Saccharomyces cerevisiae S288C: one gene and its partner. Changing the gene in region 2 together with the main gene of any one other region gives a genetic interaction. Each region holds a gene or a part of one and is shown on either strand. Other genes may lie near its edges. The genes, in order: HEH2 and NUP157.

The links.
Region 1: mutations in NUP157 (region 2) and HEH2 are lethal when combined (synthetic lethality), as found in Saccharomyces cerevisiae (one study listed by BioGRID).

Annotation. Positions count from the first base shown.
Region 1 is NC_001136.10:1,380,139-1,384,282, forward strand, and holds the start of HEH2 (Heh2p), read right to left. Parts: upstream 1,909-4,144; coding exon 1-1,908. Other genes in the region: palmitoyltransferase PFA5, read right to left, coding at 2,181-3,305; TFIIH/NER complex subunit TFB3, read left to right, coding at 3,673-4,144.
Region 2 is NC_001137.3:370,206-373,805, reverse strand, and holds the start of NUP157 (Nup157p), read left to right. Parts: upstream 1-1,792; coding exon 1,793-3,600. Other genes in the region: RNA export factor GLE2, read left to right, coding at 1-358; MAM1 (Mam1p), read right to left, coding at 572-1,480.

The DNA of each region.
Region 1 (4,144 bases), on a different chromosome or scaffold from region 2:
GATTTTTTCTTTCGTTTGAGCCCATAGATTATTCTGTTCTTTTATATTTGGTATGTCGCTCAATAAAGTAGCTCTTAGTTGAACTGTTGTCAGAAAAGGTTCTTCACCTTTGTTCTTCTTTACATCTTTCAATTTATCAATTGCCTCTTTTACCAATTTCTCAATTATCTGCTCTCCTTGAACGTAATTGTCAAGTGTCGATTGTATTTTTTTGATAAGGAAAAGGACGCCTAGGGTGATAAATAAAGAACCACCATATTTCGTTATATACTCCTGTATATCCCCTTCTAAATGACATTGCAACGTAACCCATTTTTTTGAAGTTGAACGATAAATATAGTTAGTGTTATTAGATTTAGATTTCTCTCTTTTTCCATTAGTTTCAAAATCTAATGGCAGCCAGATAATATCATCTTTTTTCTTTAATATTTCAAGCACATTTTTCCAATGATCATTGAATTCCCTTTGACTTTCCCATGACGGTCTAGAATGAGAGAATATATCATATAATTTGGTTTCCGTTTCACCACTCTCAAAGAGATTCTCTCCTTCACCACATTCATGTTGTGCATTCTTCTTTTTAAGATATTCATTTACTTTCCAAACCAGTTCATCAACCTCCTTTTCTTTACTTTCATCTTTGGCACAATATTTTGGAAAAGGAATAATACCATACGTTTCTAAAATAGAACTTTTAGGCTCATAGCCTGGTTCACACTCAACATTCATAAAAGAAGAACATATTCCATGCTCAGGACATTCGAGACAATTTGGTCGATAAGCTTGCAACACTGAATCTACCCTTTCAGTCTGAGGGAAAGCTGAGATTGCAAGAGATTTCAGGGGCTTTTCATGACCGCAATATCCTACTTGAATTCTCTGTTCTCGATACCAAAGACCAAAAAGAATAGGACATATTATTGAAAGGAAAATAGCACCATTCCATAACCAAATGAAGAGATGTGCAATAAACGGTTTCATAATATCTATCCCTCTTTTAGTTTTGTTGGCAATGAAGTGCCTGGTGCGACCTTTTGGACTTCGTATATTTTTTTTCGACGATAACCTACTAGTATCCTCTTCGTCTTGATTATCAAAAGTTTCTGATATTTTTGTTAGTTCTTCTTTTGCTTCCTTCACCTCAGGTTGGACTTCCAAATTGATATTCTCCATCACCTCACTTTCATTTCTTGTTTCTGCTCCAGTTGAAGGACCAACAGGCTCTTCTGTTTCGATTCTGATAGACGATAAGTCCGTGGATTTTATAGAATGATCATAATTCTCCGTAGCTGCACTAGCTAACTCTTTATTTAGTTGAGCTAAAAATTCGTTTGATACTTTTAAATTCGGCAATTCTGGTTTTGGAAGCTCTTTTACCCTTGGTTTGTCATCCGAAGAATCTTTCTTATGAAGTTCTTCTACAGTTTCCAGTTCAGAAGTTAAATCAGCAGAAGTTGCTTTCCCATCTGACTTAGATTGTGGAGGAGACTCTGGTGGTTTATTGGCCTTACTAGATCTTTTCTTTCTTTTCTTTTTAGGAGACTTCTCTTCCTGTATTTGCATCTTCGCTTCATTATCCGTACTAATTTGTTCCCTTTTCCTCTTGTTAGTTTCAACATTTTCATCTTTGACAGTTTTACTCTCACTAGAACTTGATTCAAGCTTTTTACTCTTTAATGTCTTTTTGCGATCTGCGTTTTTTGCCCCAGACTTCACAACCTTTTGAATGCTAGTTCTAACCTTTGAGGCCTCAGGTGAAGATTGGAGACGTTGCCTCACTTTCTCCTCAAACAATTTCACCAAGACAGGCTTCCTAGCGTTGGCAGGGAACGCAACATCATTTTCTACCAAAACTCTTCTCAATTGGCTGACCTTCAGCGTTTTCGGATCAAGGTTTCTGTGATCCATTGTCGATTAGTGAAGATAGGAAACTTCCTTTTCTACTATTATGTCCGTTAAAGTTCATCCTACCGTTTCTTTGCTGTTAAAATCTCTCTTCTTTTTTATTTTTTTCAAACTTATCTCTTACTATTTATGGAAGGACGATCAAGAAAATGTATATACTATCCCTTCCCCTACGCATACAGAATATATTAAAATGAATAGATAATAGAAACATATACCGATTGTAACATGAGTTTCGTCCCAGAATATAAATTGCTTGAAAAATTTAATACTATTTAGTAAGCAGGATCACTATCGTCACCAGAAGCCCGCAATGTGGCCAGATATTCTCCTCTTGATATCTTGTCCTCAATGGCCTGAATGGTGTAGTCACTAAGAGTTTCTTCATAGGGACCCAATATTTCCACTAGCGTTGTTTTTGAACCGCTTTTGCCATCAGATTTGCATCGAGATGTATAGGGCTTGCCTAAAGGAATTATCCACATAAGTATGTTAGAACCCATAAAGTCTTTTATATTAGCTAAGATTGACTTTTTGTCCCAGAAAGAGTGAAATTCAGATCTATCGAACTCTACCACAAACCTCAACTTGTTTGCTTCCGAGTAATAACAAAATATCTTCCTTGTTCCAAATTTTTTCCTTTTGCTATCTATGATAGCCTCCAAAGACGTCTTGTTTTGACTCATGTAAAAAATACTCGATGCCAACAAACTTGCGGTTAATAACCATCCAAGGATGGCAAACACTAACGTTGAAATTATATTTGCGTTTAAATTGGGGCTATAATTATGATTGTGTTGAGTAATAATTCTTATGTAAACGCAAATAGACACCCACATGATAAGTAAAAGTGTTGAAAAATAAGCAGCAAACTGCACAAAGAGTCTATAATTGTCTCTACCAATAACAGTCCCTATCCACATGCAGTAATGATCAAAGCGAGGAATGCAGTGGCCTAGTTCTGAAGAATGATGCGTTCGTTCCATTTTCAGACTTTGACATTCACTGCACCATATTGGGTATCCGTGAGGATCAGACTGATAACACTTAGGCGGAACCACAGCATCGTATTCCACTGAAGTGTTTTGAGAAGTGTTGCTAGTCTTCTCTTCAGAGGCTATAGGAAGGATCAAAAAAGGTGCTACGTGCGGTTGGGTACCTGGACCGACCAAGATAACTATTTGAAGCCATATGAAAATCACGACTACGTCTAGGAAGCATACCGCACAAATAAGACCAACCGAAACTGATTTCTGACGAAGTCGTTTGTCGACTTGCTCGTAACATAGTTTATGGCAGTAAGCCCACGTACCGTAGCACAGTAAACCGAGCACGATAATCGGTAAGATGAATCTAAACCATGACCTGCGCCTGATTCGAATATTCCATGATAGAGCCATTCATATACAACGGTTTAATTTCTGCCGTGTCGCGATGAAAGGACCTTAGCTAGGTTCTGAAAATATTACAACGGGCAGATATACGCCTAATTAGTTGTTTTGTTTGAGTGCTGTGTTTATGCTACTATTATTTAAAACGTAAATAGTGGAAAAAAAAATCGACTAAATGGTCCAAATCGGGCCGTTCGCTCGTAAATTTGTTCTTAAGCACTAATACTAAAGAGAGTATACAACAGAACAGACGCACAAGACAGCACTCATCATCAGCTAAGAAACTGAACTGCTTGTTAAAATTTGAGTTTGTTTCCTCTTAGGATTTGCAGCATTAGTGGGCCCCCGCACACAAGTAAATATAAGTGAAAGAAAAATGCTTATGGATGAGTATGAGGAAAACAAGGACATGTGTCCGATCTGTAAGACAGATCGATACCTTTCTCCGGATGTGAAATTTTTGGTGAATCCTGAATGCTATCACAGGATCTGTGAGTCGTGTGTTGATCGAATATTTAGTCTCGGTCCTGCCCAGTGTCCATATAAAGGGTGTGACAAGATTCTTAGAAAGAATAAGTTCAAGACCCAAATATTCGATGATGTGGAAGTTGAGAAAGAAGTTGACATCAGGAAGAGAGTGTTCAATGTGTTCAACAAAACTATCGATGACTTCAATGGTGACCTTGTGGAATATAACAAATATTTGGAAGAGGTGGAAGACATTATATACAAACTAGATCACGGGATCGATGTGGCTAAGACCGAGGAGAAACTACGCACCTACGAGGAATTAAACAAGCAACTGATTATGAATAACTTGGAGAGAAGCAGAACAGAGATAGAAAGTT
Region 2 (3,600 bases):
TTCATTTAAATGCCATCGTCAAACCAATCCTAATAGGGCACCTGGCTCCAATGGTCAATCTCTAGTGTATCCTGTAAATAGCATTGCATTTCATCCATTATATGGTACTTTTGTTACGGCTGGTGGTGATGGTACCTTCAATTTTTGGGATAAGAATCAAAGGCATAGATTGAAAGGCTATCCTACTTTGCAAGCATCTATTCCTGTATGCAGCTTCAATAGGAATGGTAGCGTATTTGCGTACGCTCTAAGTTATGATTGGCATCAAGGCCATATGGGCAACAGACCCGACTATCCAAACGTCATTAGGCTACATGCCACAACTGATGAAGAGGTTAAAGAGAAAAAGAAAAGGTGAAATTCGTTCTTCGGATAGCTTCCGTGCGCAACCACATTACTTTTGTAATTTTTTATATTTGCAATATGTAAAAGATATATATTTTTTAATGATACAGGTTCTTTTGGAGAGAATAGGAAAATCTCTCTATACCTATTCAAAATTGATAAAAAGTTTTACAGGTTACACTGAGTCGCCGTTTTAACCGGTGGTAATGTGCAGACAATACTTTCATTAATTTTCATCTATATGTAGCTTTCTTTCCAAAGCACCTATGATCTTTTTGTTTTTCTTTTTGGGAACCACTTCCAAGGTTTTTCCCTTTGATTTAATTTTTTTTGTATTTGGTGAAGAGCTGAATGGATTTTCAGAAGTGGCGCTCAAATCGTTTAGAACCTTTCGTGCATCCAAATGAAAGTCGTCAAATGCAATTTCATCCTCCCTTTTTATCAGGACACTTTGCGGCAAAAATCTTTTCTTTTGATGGTTTGTCTCTATAATACTATCAATTTCAATTGTTAAGTCTTCAATGTTTTCCTTCCTTTTCTGTTTATTAGTGTAGTCAATATTATTGGGTATCAGTAATTGTCCTATTGGAAAATATTCATAATGCTTCTCTTGTTCTTTAAGTAGAATATTCTCCATTTTCCACGACTCATCAATTGCGGAATACACATATTTATTATAGCAACTAAGGCGGAGATTTTCATTCCAGTTTTCACTCATTTCCAACTCAAAAAGGAACCAAAGTCGTGAATACTTGATATCTCTTCTATTTTCTGTGCTACAAAGACAATGATCACAGGCAATATCATTAAGTTCTCTATCGAAAATTTTCTCTTGTAACTTTTTCAAATTACTTCTTGTTAGACATTCCGTTGCTTCTTCATTAGCGACATTATTTTGTAAATGCTGCGTATCTTTGTCTTCTTTTGCTGCAACATTACCGGAGTTTTGCTTTGGTTTTACCGAGTGTTCTTTATGATAACTCGATAAACAGTGTTCTTTTATGTTCTTCTTCGGTTGCTTTTCTGGGCTGGTATTGGATATCTTCCTGCTCAAGAATCGGGAATATCTTTGGAGTTTATTTGGGAATTTGAGATAGTTTGTGTCTTTATTTGAAATTGTTCTTTTTTCCCTCATTTTTTTTTCAGGAAACAAAAAAATTCTCTGAAAATGCTTTTGCTAGTAAATAAATATGGCTATGTTTCCATTGTTGAACTTTCCATGAACGTCTGGAGATTATTCTATTATTATAGTATTTGCTGATTAAAGTATTATAAAATTAGTGACACAAAATAGAAAGTATTACCCGACTTTGGAGAGGAAAGATTTCTAATGAATAATTTCCATCTGAATTTTGAATGGCTTTATAAATCAATAGAAGAAATTAAGAATAAAATCTGTTTGTAGGAGAAACATTTCACAAAAACTACAGCTCGGATTTCAATTGTGATGTATTCAACTCCACTAAAAAAGAGGATTGATTACGATCGCGAAACGTTTACGGCTTCGGCTTCCTTAGGAGGAAATCGCTTAAGGAATCGGCCAAGAGATGACCAAAACAACGGTAAGCCCAACCTGTCGAGCCGTTCCTTCCTAAGCGAAAGAAAAACCAGGAAAGATGTATTAAACAAGTATGGCGAGGCTGGAAATACTATTGAATCAGAACTTCGTGACGTAACTACACACGTCAAGATAAGCGGGTTGACTTCCTCTGAACCGTTGCAGTTGGCTAGTGAATTTGTCCAGGATTTGAGCTTTAGGGACAGAAATACGCCAATACTAGATAATCCAGACTATTATAGTAAAGGTTTGGATTATAATTTCTCAGATGAAGTCGGTGGATTAGGTGCATTTACCCCCTTCCAAAGACAACAAGTGACAAATATACCAGATGAAGTTTTATCACAAGTTTCAAATACCGAAATAAAGAGTGATATGGGTATTTTTCTCGAACTGAACTATTGTTGGATAACCTCTGATAATAAATTGATCTTGTGGAATATCAATAATAGTTCAGAATACCACTGTATCGATGAAATCGAGCACACCATTTTAAAAGTGAAACTAGTTAAGCCTAGCCCAAACACTTTTGTTTCTTCTGTTGAAAATTTATTGATTGTCGCCACTCTTTTTGATATCTATATTTTGACAATATCATTTAATGACCGTACTCATGAGTTGAATATCTTTAACACAGGATTAAAAGTAAATGTAACTGGGTTCAACGTTTCTAACATAATAAGCTACGAAAGGACTGGACAAATATTTTTCACTGGTGCGACTGATGGTGTCAACGTGTGGGAATTACAATATAACTGCTCGGAGAACCTATTCAATAGCAAGAGTAACAAAATATGTTTGACAAAGTCAAACTTAGCAAATTTACTACCTACAAAACTAATACCTAGCATACCCGGAGGAAAGTTGATACAAAAAGTACTAGAAGGGGATGCAGGTACCGAAGAAGAAACTATATCACAGCTCGAAGTTGACCAGTCAAGAGGCGTTTTACATACTCTATCAACGAAATCTATTGTCAGATCTTACCTAATTACTAGTAACGGGCTAGTAGGACCGGTCCTCATTGATGCTGCTCATATCAGGCGTGGAATGAATGCATTGGGTGTAAAAAATTCACCTCTACTCAGTAATCGAGCTTTCAAGATTGCCAAAATTGTTTCTATCTCTATGTGTGAGAACAATGATTTATTCTTAGCTGTTATAACTACTACTGGGGTACGCTTGTATTTCAAAGGTTCCATTTCTAGGAGATCGATTGGCTCATTAAAATTAGACTCTGTAAAGTTTCCTCCTACCAGTATATCTAGCTCCCTCGAGCAAAATAAATCTTTCATAATCGGTCATCACCCCTTAAACACACATGATACAGGCCCACTTTCAACACAAAAAGCTAGTTCAACTTATATCAATACCACTTGCGCTAGTACGATAATATCACCAGGTATATACTTTACGTGCGTGAGGAAAAGAGCTAATTCCGGAGAACTATCTAAAGGTATTACAAATAAAGCTTTGCTGGAAAATAAAGAGGAACACAAACTTTACGTTAGTGCTCCAGATTACGGTATATTAAAGAATTATGGTAAATATGTAGAGAATACCGCACTACTCGATACGACAGATGAAATTAAAGAGATTGTTCCCTTAACAAGATCTTTTAATTACACTTCTACTCCCCAAGGTTACGCCAATGTGTTTGCCTCACAATACAGTGCAGAACCATTAAAAGTTGCCGT